Mus musculus: one gene and its partner. The protein of the gene in region 1 interacts with the protein of each later gene in a pairwise test. Links are inferred from orthologs where the notes say so. Each region holds a gene or a part of one and is shown on either strand. Other genes may lie near its edges.

Region 1 (7,634 bases):
GTCTCATTGCCTCTTGGTAAGCTAGCGATACTGTACAGAACACGACCCCCCACTTCTGACCTTGTTCTCTGGTTTTCAGTTTTTACATGTCCCTAGCACCGGTTATGTTTACCTGCTAGGCTAAGTGGCTGCCAGGCCACATCCTGTGATCTCCAATCAGAATAGGCAGTGTGAGAAGAGGCCTGAAGGCTGGCTTGGTAGAGAGACTCCAGTTCAGAGGTCTCCTGCTCTGTGTCTTGGTCCCAGTGTGGATGCAAAAGGATAGGACTTCTTTCTAGGCAGGTTGCACGTGGGTGGGAATCATGGGAGGAGGACTTGTCTCCGGGCCCAGGGGCACTGGGTTTAACCTGAGAATCACAGAGCCTTGTGACATTTACCCAAGAATCCAAAGGCAAAGAAGTCCCCAAATTGACACTACTACCCAGCTCCTTGGACCTAATATCTGTCACTTGGGGTAGCTTTCCTTGGTACATATCTGGCTCAGCCAGCCTGGGCTGTGCTGTCCTCGAGGTTTCACCATCAGGAAGCCCCGAGCCCATGGAAAGAGGAGGATGAGCTGCAGGGTCTTCCCAGCAGGGCGGTCTTTCCCTGCCATCGGGGGAACGGGGTTGTTTTACCCAGCGACAGTGCTCTCTTCCTGGACCCTGGGATAATGGAGGCATAAAGTCAGAAGGAGAAGAGCTCTTCCTGACACCATTTGGCAAACTTCTATCCTGGGAACCTATAACATCTCTCGTGGAAGTATTCTGCATCTTCTGGAATTGCTCTGCCAATGAGCGGACAAGTCCTTTTGTACTGGGGAACTCTAGCCTATAGGGCTCCTCACTGCTTCTGACCACTTTTGAAGTCAATGAAGTCTGGAGACTTTGGGCTTGAACGTGTTGGTTAAGTTTCTGCATGGGGTCAGCAGCATGAAGCACAGGTGAAGAAGCAGCAGACGTGATGGGGTGGCAGGAACTGTAAGGGGGAATACTAGGCTGAGCTGATGAACTTGAAGGACTATTTAGGCTATATATAACTCTCTCAGAAGTGGCTTCTCCTGTTGAATATGACCAAGGCATCCCCATGGATATATCAGCAGGATTCTTTTTTCCTTCAAACAGCTGATCTTGAGCTATGTCTCTTCCTTCTCGTGGTGGGAATTTGCTGCAACAGCTGTTGTCCTCCCTGTGGCCTTGGAGCCTATCTTCAAGGGCATCTAATGGCAGGCATTCATGTTGAGAGTTCATCTCAGTTCTACCTGTTGCTTTAGGTAAACCCTGCCTGTGGAATGCAGAGCGATTGACGCTGTCCACCTCAAAAGACGTCAGAAGCTTCAAGGAAGATGTCCCAGGGGGACTGTGCTGTGAAACAGATGAAACAGGTGACTCTGGGATGAGTGATGAGTGTAACTCAGGGCAGGAAGCAGGTGAGTGGAAGAAAGAGGAAGTGGCCCCAAGCTCTGTATCCTTGCAAGGTTCCAGCTGTGCCTCCTGGTTTAACAATACTTGGAGCGTGATAGGCTGTTCACTGAAACAAATGGAGAGAATCAGCCACACCGTGCCTTGACTAACAATAAATTCCCCCCCCCCCAAAAAACCCTACTCATTCAATTCCACTTCTAGCTATTCACAGATATGATGAACAGAATAAAAAAGACAAACACAAACAAAGCCAATAGATTACAGGTTCACAAAAGAAAAGAGAGTACCATCCAATTTGTCTATGTGTTATGAAGTCCAGGGTTTGCTAATATTCTTTACTACTCACAAAGTCCCATTCCAATCACATTCTACTTGCAAATTTAAAAAGATAACAATTGCCAGGTAGTGGTGGCACACTCATTTACTCAGGAGACAGAGGCAGGTGGATCTCTGAGTTCAAGGCCAGCCTGGTCTACAGAGTGAGTTCTAGGATAGCCAGTGCTACAGAGAAACCCTGTCTCAAAGAACAAACAAAAGATAAAAATTGCTTCTTCCACAGAAGGCAAAGTCTAAAAGCCACTCACACTATACAACAAAAGTCCTGGATGCTGTACAAAGAGAGAAGTGCTACCCTAGGGTCCGATGGGGTAGCTCAGTCAACAAAATGAAGAAGACTACAGAACACAAGGTGATTTGGACTCCTGGGTAAACAGACATCAACTATCACTGCATGCTTCACTCAAATGTCTCATCACAGTGGCAGAACAGGGTTCTCTTAACAGTGAGGAGGGGGAATATAATTCTCATAATTCTCACTGTTTTATATTTATGACAAAAAAAAAAATATATCCTGAGAGGAAACTTCAACCTTTTCAATTCCTTTTCAGATAAGAATAAGAAACAGCCGGTTGTGGTGGCACACGCCTTTAATCCCAGCACTATGGAGGCAGAGGCAGGCAGATTTCTAAGTTCCAGGCCAGCCTGGTCTAAAGAGTGAGTTCCAGGACAACCAGGGCTACACAGAGAAACCTTGTCTCGAAAAACCAAAAAAAAAAAAAAAAGAACTAAGAAACTGAAAATCCATAATTGGAGTGCTTCGAAACACAACCTGTTTTAGGCATGGGCACAATAATGGAATAAGTTTGAACCCTGAAGCATCTCAGGCTTCAGATTTTAGGGCTAAGGGTATTCAACCCGTCTATATGAGTGTTCCAAAATCTGAAAGAAGAAAAAAAAATTAAATCTGAGCTGGGTACGGCAGTGCAAACCTCTAATCCTGGCATTTAGGAACCAAGGGCAGGAAGACTGTAGTGAGTTCTGAGGCCTATACAGTCTACCTACCAAGTCCCAGGCCAGCTAAGCAACCATATCTCAAAAAATAAAGAGAAAAAGACAGAGGGGAAGAAGTGGAAGGAAGGAAGGGAAGGGGGGAGAGACAGAAAGACAGAGACAGAGAGAAGCAAAGACAGAGAGACAAAGAAAGGCAGAGACTGATGGATAAAAGATAGACAGGGACAGATAGATAGAGACTTACTTTTAGTCTCAAGACATTTTAGATAATATGAATCTGTATACCCCAAATGTTTGTAGCTTTAGTCATCCAGTCACTCTTGTAACATGATTGTGGTAATTTAATCAAAACTTGGCCTAGTGATGTAGTTCAATTGGTAGAGTGCTGGCCCAACATGCAGGATGCCTTGGGTTCAATCCACGGAACTGAATAAACCTGAGTAGTGTTTAACAGGCCTGTAATACTAGCACTCCAGAGGCAAAAAGAAATATCAGGAGTTCAAGGCATTGCAGAGCCTAGTTAGTCTAGAAAAGGGGGGGGGGGGGAAGGGATGCAACATTGACAGTAAAACGGATTTGTATCTGAATTCTATACTTCTACCACTTATTAGCTAACTAACTATCCTCTCTACAAGCTTCCTTATTTAGAACGTATGCTCGATAGCAGCTACTATCTCATCAGGTAATAAATAAAACAGAAAATGCTTGCCTCTGACCTGAACCCAGGCAAATGTTCAAAAATTTTAACAAGCATAATGAAGCTAATAGTTAAAAGACCAACAAACGAGGCAGAGAACGTGTAGCTTACTAGTAGAACGCTTGCCTAGTAGTATAGTATATACAAGTTCCTGGATTTTATTCCCAGGAAAACACACACACACACACACACACACACACACGCAGAGAGAAAAAGTTATCTACTTTTATTATAGTTATATTTATACCCCTAAAATGTGGGAACTATCCCAGTACCTCTTGGGACTTTCTCCTTGTCCTGACCTTAGAGAAGCAAACAAAGAAAATCTTTGTGTCTCTTCCCTACGGTTTAATCAAAGTAAGAAAAACTGGTTATTTTCTCTGTGAGGATGGTAAATATTGAAATCCCAAATTAAACAGTTACTACAACAACATGAAGGGTACAATCAGATTCCATGTTTAAGAACATAATAAATACAACTATAATAATCATATTGCTACACAAATCCAGGAAATTTGGATAGCTTGTTATTTTGTACTTATTTGCATCTTTCTAGGAATTATTAATGAAAGGACCATCTGTGAAATGAGCTTTTGTGTGTCTGACCTTAGAGAAGAGAACCTTAGTCATATAAGGTTTTTCTCTTTTCCCTGGTAGTGAAGAAGAGAAGAGTTCGTGCTATGGCGTACCCATGGACACTGCCTCCCCTGCTATCCGTAAGCTAATGTGGTTCTCAAGCACTACCTTGTCGGCTGAGGGAGGGCGCCCCCCTGTGATGGGAGAGAGGCTGAGGGCTGCACCGGCTGCTGCGATGATGCTTGTTGCTGCATGCGATCCTGAAGGCTTCGTGCTTTTCGAATACTGATTTGCAACTTCTTATCGACTAGGGCTCTGCTGTGCGTGCTAGAGCTGGCATCATGCAGGGTAAGTCTTAGTTTAGCTAAAATGCAAAAGAAAATATAGCAGAAACAACACAAAATACAAACAAAAATAAAAGAACAAAAACTAAACTAAAACTAAGCAAAGATAGGCGGTAAAACAAAATATGTAGCAGCAGGAATGCAAGGCATGGACTGTGCATGCGCTGTCAAGAGCGCAGAACCAGCTCTGGCTCAGGAAACATTCATGAAAGCCAGGAGACCAAACACATTAATTAAAACTTAAACAAACAAAACACTAAAGAAAATCAAACAAAACTTAAAGAGCAGGAAGATAAACTAGCACGTGAGGTTGCCACTCTCGTCTTCTCACTGACCTGTTTGACTCCGGTCTCCACACTCTGCTCCCAGTTCCCCCTTTCTGATGGCCAATGACAAAAAAATAAGGTCCAAACCTGCACCCGTCTTTACAGAGCACAGCTTCATGGAGTCATATTTAAGAGTCAGGTACCAATTCTTAGCCTGAACCCCTTGCTGTTACAGTATGGTACTGCATACCAGAAAGGCAGGAGAAGAACAAAAAGAATAGAGTATTACAATGAAAAGTTACTACCTAGGGAGTCAGAGCCAGTTTCTTCAGTTGGCCTACTCATTAGTCAGGGACTAGAGAAAGAGTAGGCTAACCTCATATCTGAAGTCTAACTATTTGGGTTAGAATTCATCTGTGGTTTCCTGTTGAGGTTGTTCCAGTAAATGTCCACAGACCACAGTGGCACCACAAGGTACATTTTGAAATCTGAAGGGGAAAGATAGCTAATTGGCCTCCCCGGGAACACAAGAGACATTAAAAACTGTCCCTATGGCCATCTGCATGACAACACTAGTTCCTATTGTGGAGTTAGTCGGGAAACGCCATAGCCAGTAGCAGTTGAGTTACTTACAGATAGCTTCGTTACACAGAGCCAGAGCTGCAGCACAGTCTCCCTTTTGTTCCAGATGCAGCGACTCTTCAAATATTGAATTTGCCTCTTGCAAGGACCTTTCAAAGCCGTCACTCCTCCCTGAAAGGGCCAGCACTTTCATTTTTATTATAGTTAATTCCAACTTCTCCTCTGTACTGCTTCTTCTCTTTGGGACACAGATCCTTGTTGTTAAGCCTCTGGTCTACTTTTTATCTACCTGCCCATTGCTATTAAGAAGGCTTTAGAACAACTAAGGAATCCATTTTTGCCTTAACTGAAATCTAACCAAGGCCAGGAAAAGGTGGGGGTGGGAATACCATGACTGCCATACTACTATCCCAGCTCTAATACCTCCTTTCAAGGAAAGAACAAAGTGTTGTCCATAGTAGCAACAGAACTCTCGTGCCTAGAACTGAACTGCCACCACAAAATACCAGGACATACCTTGTCAAATGTCAGCTACCCCAGACTTACTGCTTACATGCTGTAAGCATGGCTTACGATTCTGTGGAACATCACCCTTGCCACTTCTAATATAGCTTCAATTCCCTCTTCACCACGCTGCTGTCAGTACACTTCTTGGGCTTGAGGTGGTCTACAGTTTCTACTTCAATAAATCTACCATAGCATTGAACTTCATTTGTTGTTACATGGACTGGCCTTTCTTTAGCAATGAAAAGTTTTTACCTTGATCATGCCTCACTCACCAAAAGTATCCATCTCTAAAAGGATGATGATCCACTTCTCATATAACAACATAGAGTATTCCCCCCAACTCCCAAAGTGCACATGGGTCAAAGGAGATACAAAAGAGGAGTCCAGGAACAGTGACAGATGAATGGACTAAGATGTACAGTAAAGACACTTTGTGAAGGACCATCAGAGAGCCTCACCTTCTAGTCATCTCTAACATAAGCTGGTAGGAAGTTATAAAGTTACTTCACTTACAAATGGAATTGACATTGAGCTTTCACATGGTCACAGGGGCTGCAAGATTGAAATGTCAAGCCAGGTATGACGGCACATGCCTGTTATCCCCATTACTCTGGAGGTGGAAGGAGGAGGATCCCTGAGCTATACAGCAAGGTAGAAGCCAGATACTTCATGGCTACATAATGAGATTGTATCTCAAAATCTCAAAACAACAGAAAAGAAATAAAATGACTGGGATAAAAAGTCTAAGGTTTGGGGGTTTTTTGTTTGTTTGTTTTTGTTTTTGGATTTTAGAGACAGGGTTTCTCTGTGTAGCCCTGGCTGTCCTGGAACTCACTCTGTAGACCAGTCTGGCCTCGAACTCAGAAATCCGCCTGCCTCTGCCTCCCAGGTGCTGGGATTAAAGGCGTGCGCCACCACTGCCTGAGTTATTTTTCTTCATCACAACACCCTTGCTTTATCCTCATTCACCTACAGACGTCAATGGTAAGAAAGGCTCTGTCAGAACCATAACAAATTCAATTTCTACAGCAGTTAGCTTTTAGAAAGCAAAGACAGTGGAAAGTAGGTTGGTTCTGAAAACCTTGGTAGTCAATTTCTATCCCATCTCTACATCTCTGATTTCCCCCAGCCCTGAACCCAAAGTTCTTTCATTATGATTGTAATCAACTGAGTCTAAACATCTAGAATTAGAGGTGGTAGCTTGAAAGAAAAGAAGGGCTAGGCATGGAGGTATACACATATAATCCCAGCACTTCTGAGGCCCAGGCATGTAAAAGTTCTCAACTTTACAAAGATCTAGGCAAATTATAGTTACTGAGTAGTATAGCATATTTAAATCTTAATCATCTAGAATCTCTGCACTCCAGGCTGTACTCTCTTTGATGAGGCTATACCAGAGCTTATCAAAAACTGATAATGAAACACAATGATCAGGATTCCTGTTCAACTCTAATGCATGGTGTCACTAAGAGAGAAAGGAAAGGACAAGGTCAAAGATGACAAGATCCCTCTTTCAGTAGAAATATAAACTTTAAACTAAGGAATAGTGGCGCATGCCTGTCATCTCACCATACATGTGAGGACAACCTGATCTACAAAGCGAGCTCTGGGTCAGCCAAGGCTCAAGAGTGATGAAATCTGGTCTCCAAAAAAAAAAGGGGGGGAGGAGGTAAAATGGATGAGGAGGAAGCTGGAGTGATGAAGCATTTGTCTTGCAAGCATGAGGGCCTGAGTTTCATTCCCAAGTACACTGAATAAAGGCAGGTAGGCGTGTCCACTTGTACCCAGCACTGGGGTAGCAGGGATACATGTGCCCTGACGTTCCCTAGCCAACCAGACTGGCCACTCACTTAGAATAAAGAACATGTCCCAGGAAATGAAGAAAAAAAGGTATACAACATCTAAGGATGCCCTCTGGTTTCCACATGCACTCAAACATACATGTGCACCTGTACACATACAAACATAC
Region 2 (7,634 bases), on another chromosome or scaffold:
TAGGACTCCTGGTGACAGGCCAGGTCTATCTATGAAGGAAATGCCACACTCATTCCCTGGGAGAAGTCTAACTACATAGCTGGGTGGACAATACCCTGAGTTGCCTTCAAGAGTCTAAAGAACCCCTCCCCACCCCATCCCAAAAAACCTTCACAAAAAAATTACTCAACCACTTTAAAGTTGGTGGGGGTGGGGGAGCCTAAATCCTAATACCCAATGGGGCCCTACAGTCCACGCTGACACTACTATGGGCTGTAGGGAAATGTGGGAATAAGACAGATGGCAGCAAATACAACCAAGATAGAAAATACTTTCTAGAAGAATCCACCAGCATACAAGGACACATCTGCTAAGATGTTACAAAGACTATTCCTAGACTTTCAGAGCTGATACTGGGAGGGCGCAACTTAGGCCGGAATGCTGAGAGGCAATGGATTGCAGTGGGAGGAAGCCGAGTAGGTCCACTGCAGTGGGAATGCCCAGCCTAGGGCTCAGTTTCTTTCTGGTTTCTCCACTATATTGCTGCCGGTGGAAGAGGACATGATTTTGAGTTTCTAAATATAAAAATTATAGCTGATAGGGAAACCAGGGACCCTTTTACACCAAAAACTAGAGGTCTTAGTGGACAAAGGCAGTGCAGCTACACATGAGGCCCAGGTCAAGACACCATGCAGAGGTCAGGCAGCAGAAGGGTAGGGGCAGTGCAGGCACTAAGGCACAACATAGACAGACAATGGAGGAGTGTAGGTGCCTAGGGGAAAGGTCCTCCAGGTCTTTCTGAAGTTACTACTACAGACTGAATGAATATCAAAGCGGGCCTGACAGGCTGGGTGGGAGTTTAGGTTAGAGGCCTTTCAAAAGCTTTGCCTAAGTCCCAACATCTATCAGTCAAATCTTTTCTCCACAGTCCCGACTGGGTTCCTGGCAAGGCAGTCCTTCATTTTCAAACCCGAAGGGGCTTCTCTCTCTCTCTCTCTCTCCTGGCCCTAAAATGCTAAAAAGCCTTATAGCGGAATGGTGAGGTGAGATGGGAACGGGCAGAAGCAAAGGACCAAGCACAGTCCCGTAGATCATGGTGCTCCCCAACCCCCAACCCCACCATAAACATCTGTAACAAAATCACCCTTTAAAGTGCACATCTCTCACAAGAAGAGTTCTGGGCGGGAACCCTCTTATTTTCAACCATTGGGCCTCCTGCCCTCCCACCACAAAGGACGGGAGGGAGACAGGAAAAAAGAAAGAAAACAGTTTTACTGCTACTATAAGCTGTGATCATCATATTTGGCTCTTTCTTTGCTTCCTCCCTCTGCCACCTGCTCCCAAAGCCTGCACTTTCCCTTGTAGGAGCCAGGGATGAGTAGGAAAAAACAGGGAGGCCCTGATTTTGGAATGTGTCTTATCCTATGTGCACTCCTACCCTTTCTTGCTCCAAGCCTGCAAGTCCCCATCTCAGCACCCTCTAAAGGTGTCCTGAGAGGGTGCCATGGGGTCACGAGCAACACACCCTGCTTTGGGAGGCTGTCTTAATGTCTGTTTCCCCCAAATCTCACTGCCAAGAGAGCCACCCTCTGCTTGGCATGTGCAAATCCTCTCGATGCTCACAGAGGCTCACCTCTGGGGAGAAAGCCCCAGTCCTGGGTTGGGAAAGAGGTTCATTTTCCTGCATTGGAACGCCCTTCGATGGACAGCTTTACCTCCTGTGGAATGAAAGAGGGACGGAGCATCGCAGCCCGTGCCTCCTCCCCTTGCATGCTGAATCTTTGGAAGCTTGGGGCTGGCCAGCAGGCCTGAGCACCAGGCTCAGGCTGGGAGGGTTCTCCCACCCGGGAACCCTCTCCTGAAGGCTGGTTCTTCCCCTCGCTGTCACATAGGTCTCTGGGCCCCAAGACTGTCCTCTCAGGCCTTTCTCGGGGTGTACCCAGCTGCCCTGGGGGAGCACAGCTGGCCTGAGATACTGAGTTACTGTTCAAGCTCTGTAAACTGATAGAGATGCAGACATCTCCCACCTGTAGCCGATGGCAGGGCAGAGAGAAGAGTTGTGCAGTCCGCCCAGGGCTGCAGGAGGACCAACCCTGGCCATATACAAAAAAAGGGTGCTCAGGGGGCACCTCAATGCTCACTTTGCTCTGCTGTTCACCAACCACGAAATGCAGCATAACAAATCCAGGCCACTGGCTCTCCTGAATGTCCACGACTGTGCTAGAGTCAATTTTCAGCCCCCCACTCACTTCCGCACTTCGCACAAAATCCTGGGTCTGGAGGTCCTCTACCCGCTTCAGCTCCCCTGTAGCCAGCTGAATGATGGCGCCTTTCATGAAATGGGAGGGCAGGTGGGAAGAGGTAACGGGAGGTGGCGTTGGCTCCTTGTCTGGGAAGGTGGCTCTGGCCTGCAGGTCCAGACTTGATGCCACCAGGATCTCTGAGCCCACAGGCAGCAGGCTAGGGTCAGTTCCAGTGGGCACCAGGTTGCCATTGGCTACAACCATTGCTTTGGGTAAAGGTCTGTGTTTTACTGGTTCCTGATGGGACTGCGGGTAGAACACACGGGCCTGACTTTTCTCCACCAGTTCTGTAGGATTCCTGGCAGACCCTCGTCCCTCACCCTGATGGTCAAGGTTATGATGGGATAGGTTAAGAGGGCTGGGCTCATCTTTCCTCTGAGCTGCCACCACACGATAGTCCTGAGAAGCTAAAGCGCCAACTACCCGCTGGACCTCTAGGTCGGTGTCTGGGGTCCCTCGATGTGCTGGCGCCGCCACCTCCACTCTCGGAGTCTGAGAACCTGAAAACAACTGTCCATCCGCCATGCATTCCACCACCGGCACCAGTCCTTGGCTTTCACCCTTGCTGCTGGCGGAGTCAAGGGCTTCACTTTCGCGTCTTACATTTCGCTCTCGTTGTCTCTGTCCATTGGCAGCAGCTGCTTCCAGAGCAGACTGGCCCTCCTGAGGAGTAAGAATGGGGCTGGCACCTGCTGTTGAAGTTTCATGCAAGGTATATCCAGCAGGTAGCCTAGACATTTGATAATAAATGGGCATCCGGCCTGGAGCAAGATCCAGTGGTTGAGTATTCGAGTGATGTGGCAACTGGCCGGGCGGGGAGGTGGCAGATGAGGACTTGTTAAATGACTGAGCTGGGGATGCGGCCTGTGGAGGGGGAGTAGCTTCTTCTGCGAGGAGAGAGGCATATGGCACAAAGTGTGGAAGGTGAGTGGTGGCAAGGTTGGCAGAAGGAGAGAGGAGAGGACTGGGTAGGAAATTAGGTGGCACAGCATAAGGAAGGCTGTATGGAGACCCAATAAACTGCAGTGAGGTGGATGGGAGCTGAGCATAGTGGACTGGGGGATAGTGGATTCCCGGATGTTGAATCAGTGAAGACGCTACATTAAATGTGGGGGGTAAGGGGCTCATGTTCACAACAGATGGCAGGCCAGTTGGTGAGAAGGTGGCAGGTGGCACAGCCACCTTGTACAGCATGCCATACTGATCTACTGTCAGGCCAGTGATGGCCTCAGTTCCATCACCCCCGAGGCTGACTCTGGCTCCCGTCTGGCTCTGCCCAGCCACCACAACCCCTCGGGACCATTCAGAAGCGTCACTGGAGGGTGTGTGGTTTGTGGAGCAGCTGGTAGTTCTCCCCATATCCTCGCTGGTCACAGGGAGGTCTCGTTTCTTTGGTGGAAGGCATTCCTGACTCCGCTCATGAACAGGTTTCATATTGCTTTGTGTTCCCGGAGCCTGGATGGAGTTTACGCGCTCCTTCGGGCATCAGAAGTGACTTCTCTGTGGTTCCCCTGCACCCCGCTCTGCTGCTGGTTGTGGTGCCCACATCTGCTAGGGAATAAACCAGAGGCAGAGAAGAGTAACCTAGGGAATCAAGTCAAACAAAGTATGAAGACTTACACCCAGGAGCAAAGACCTAAGGAGAGCAGCACACAACTGAGGGGCGAGAGGAGAGAGGACGAGGCTGCCTGTTCACCCAGCAGCCCACCACAGGAAGACAAGAGGCAGGAAAACCAGGAAGAGCTACAAGGATGCACAGCCAAGAAACCTAAGTGAGCCCAGGGCTGAAGCATCTCTTCCTGGCCACCTGCTGGGTTAGTCATGCTTTTCCTGAGGCCCTTACCTCTTCTCAGTCTCCTCCCTGAAGCATAGCTGGGAGCATGAGTCTTTGCTGCAGACCCTTTCCTAAATGTCTCCTTCTGCTATCAAAGTCTAGCATGCCATCTTCTTTCCCTGAATGCATGATCTCATTCGTGCTTCCTTTCCCCAGCTTAATTTGGGTTATGACCTCACCTGCTCCATCCAACCGAAGACTGGCTGAATTCATGTTACTAAGTGCTGAGGTTTGTAAACCTTGTTCCCTAAGCATATTATAAATTGGAGTGTTTTTGTTGTTGTTCCAGGAAACTTGACATTCCAGCTTTGACCCCGTGAGAAGAGTGACTGTGGTAGTTTGCTCTAGAGCTTGCTTCTCCTCCACCCTCTCTGACCTCTAGTCTAAAAGACTTCTTTCTTCTTACTGATCACCTTCCATTTGCCTTCTTTGTTCTTGTTTCTTCTGCCAGTGCCTCCCTCCCTGTCCAGTGTGGCTCTGCTCTGAGTATTAAGTCACACAATTCTATTCCCTGTCTCCATACTTGGACGTTTACTTCTCTCCCTTCCTTAGTGTCACTTTCTATACCTCTCCTTTTTTCCTTTTCTTTTTTTGTTTTTTGTTTGTTTTTTTTCAGACAGGGTTTTTCTGTGTAGCCCTGGCCGTCCTGGAACTGTCACTCTAGAAACCAGGCTGGCTTCAAATGTAGACATCCTCCTGCCTCTGCCTCCCAAGTGCTGGGATCAATGGCATGTGCTAACACACCCAGCTTTTATAATCACTTTTTTTGTTTGTTTGTTTGTTTGTTTGTTTGTTTGTTTCGAGACAGGGTTTCTCTGTGTAGCCCTGGCTGGCCTCAAACTCAGAAATCTGCCTGCCTTTGCCTCCCAAGTGCTGGGATCAAAGGCGTGTGCCACCACTGCCCAGCTCTGTAATCACTTTTATCCACTGTCAAAAAGCATCTTTTTAGAACCCCAATGATAGTGCATGCACATAGTCCTGGCACTTGAGAGAAGAGTTTAGAAATTTGAGGTCACCCTTAGTTAGACAATGAATTAGATAGAGGCCAGCCTGGGCTACATGAGAACCTGGGGTGTTGGTTTTTTTTTTTTTTTTTTTTTTGGTGGTGGTGGTTAAAAAAAATCAGAAAGCATCTTTTTTGTATGAACACTTCAATGCATATGAACTTTGGCAATAATTTTTCCAATCAGGCTGAATTCTGTTTTTCCACTGTCACGTGCCACGGTTTTTTGTTTTGTTTTTTCCTGAAACAAGGCCTCCACAGTGCCTCTATTACCTGCGCGTCTGGTGGGGCTGAGCAGCTGCAGTACGTGTCCTCCCCTCTGGTTTGGGAGCCTAGAAGACACAAGGCTGATGTCAGCTGGAGGCAGAGCTCTCACCTTCCCCGGGCCATCCTGAAAGGCAATTCCAAAGCCACCAAAAACCACTGACCTCCCTAAGTTCTTGCTTCATTCTCAACCCAGTGGTAACAGCACGTATACCCGAGTGCCCAGGAAACTGAAGGAAAAAAAAAAAAAACAATCCAGGGCTAATGAGATGGCTCAGTAGGTAAATGCACTTGCTGCCCAGACCTGTTCCCTTCCTGGGACCTAAGCTGCAGGGACTCCTAAAAGCTGGCCTCTGGCCGTCACACACAAGACCAAAACAACAACAAAAAACAAAAAAAACAAGAATGAAAAAAATCTTTATGCTTTCATTTTTGTAAGACATCCCTGGAAAGAAATTTCTATGTGTTGATTTCAGTGGTTTCTTTACCATCCTTCATTCTTCATTCTCTACCCCACTCCCCAATGAGCAAGCTCATTTCCAGTCCAAATTTTGCTTAAATGCACAAATAAAGATGAGAGACTTCATACTGCCTGCATGTGAGCAATGAGAAGCTGGGAGTTTCTGCTTTATTAGTGGCCCATGAACACACAGATGTAGAGATTATTCAAATAAGAAAGCTGTCACTAGAGGAAAAGGAACAATTATTTATGTTTCTGGGGCAGAGAAAGAGGTCAAGGGGGAGTTACTCAAAGTGAAAGCTATATTAACAGATTTTCTGAGTAAAAGTAAAAGGGCTCCTGTGTGTGTGTATGTGCGCGCGCACACACACAATTTTATACGTGACTTTACACTAAGTACTGAATGAAATGTGAAAGAAAATGAAAACGCCATTTTGATTCTATGAAGCTAACAAAGGGGAACAAAACTATTACTAAGCTACCAATATCTGAATCCACACTTGCCAGAAACATCAATAATTAAAGAACATGGCCTTTCAAGGCTCCGGATGCAGCTCAGTTGGTAAAGTGCCTGCCTAGCATGCATCCAGCCCGAGGTTACATCTCTAGCACCTCACAGATTGGAAATGGGAGTGGACACTTTGTAATCTTACTACCTTTGAGGTAGAAAGAAGAGGATCGTGAGTTCAAGGTACTCACCAACTACATTCGATTATTTAGCAAGTCAGAAGTCAGCCTGAGCTCCATAAGACCCTCTCAAAAGAAAACAACCAAAACCAAAACCGGGGCCAACGAAGTCCTAACAACTGGATTAGCAGTATTGACTAGTACCGAGGAACCTGTTCTGTCAAAGTCAGAATATTGCAAGCTCGATCCAACTGAAGGCAACGTTTACTTAAGATAGGCATGGTTCAAGGGTACACGAAAGATGGAAATGTGGAAAAACAGATTCCTAATGCCACAAATAAATCACCAAGTGGGTACAAGTCACGCACTCATTCTTCATCAAACGTTTAATTGAAAGCACTCAGCTTTCTTTCATTTTCTTAATCCCCCAAAATGATGCTTGCCCTCTGTAGCTAAAAAAAAAAAAAAAGCTAAGGAAAATCCGTCTATGGGTCACCGAGGAGTTAGCAAACACAAAATAATGAAAGGACGGAAAGAGGCAAAAAGAAAGCTCAGCCTGCCCACCAGGTTCCCACAAGGCAAAACACTTCAAAATCTGAAACCGGGTGTGGGTGTAGGGTGCAGCTTTGGAGAATTTCTCATGGGAAATGACACAACTTGTGGCCCTGAGCTAAGGGGCAACGGAACTATTCCAGAGACCTGCCAACCTAGCCGAGAAGGCAGCTCCTCTTCATGCAGGGAATGGAATCAAGAGACTGCACACCGAGGGGGACCCAAATTCACTGAGGGAGAGGTGCGCCCCACAAAAAGGGAGCAGCAAAAAGGGAGAGACACCAGGGATGATGGCTTTTGATGATCCTTGTTCCGACAGGGGTACAGGCCTGAACTGGGGGAGTCTACGTTTAGGGTTAGTCGGGGTAGGGGGTCGGACGTGGAGGTGAGGCCAGGCCCCGCTGGCGACGCTTCCTTGTTTGGGGCCCCTTCCCGCCCTGAGAACTCGGACATCCTGACCCGCGGGGACAACCCCGTCGGGGCATCAGGGCCTGAGGCCGCCTTCTGGGCCAGGCGGGAAAGCAGCATCTAGAGGGGCTAGGCACGGCCTCTTTCGCTCGCTCTGCCCGCTGTTTAGGGGGCCCGCGGCCGGGGTGAGGCAACGGGCTTCTA

The links. The genes of interacting proteins can lie anywhere in the genome.
Region 2: the proteins of Usp54 (region 1) and Atxn1l interact in binary tests that used the Homo sapiens proteins (3 or more experiments, as listed by UniProt). The link is inferred for Mus musculus from reciprocal best matches to the Homo sapiens genes USP54 and ATXN1L.

What each region holds. Positions count from the first base shown.
Region 1 is NC_000080.6:20,560,734-20,568,367, forward strand, and holds part of Usp54 (inactive ubiquitin carboxyl-terminal hydrolase 54), read right to left. Parts: intron 5,330-7,634; coding exon 5,210-5,329; intron 4,331-5,209; coding exon 4,135-4,330; intron 4,107-4,134; exon of another isoform or gene 4,048-4,106; intron 1,510-4,047; coding exon 113-1,509; intron 1-112.
Region 2 is NC_000074.6:109,729,913-109,737,546, forward strand, and holds part of Atxn1l (ataxin-1-like), read right to left. Parts: intron 5,614-7,634; 5' UTR 5,548-5,613; intron 5,452-5,547; 5' UTR 5,393-5,451; intron 3,867-5,392; exon of another isoform or gene 3,831-3,866; 5' UTR 3,717-3,830; coding exon 1,653-3,716; 3' UTR 1-1,652. UniProt on the Homo sapiens protein: Chromatin-binding factor that repress Notch signaling in the absence of Notch intracellular domain by acting as a CBF1 corepressor. Binds to the HEY promoter and might assist, along with NCOR2, RBPJ-mediated repression.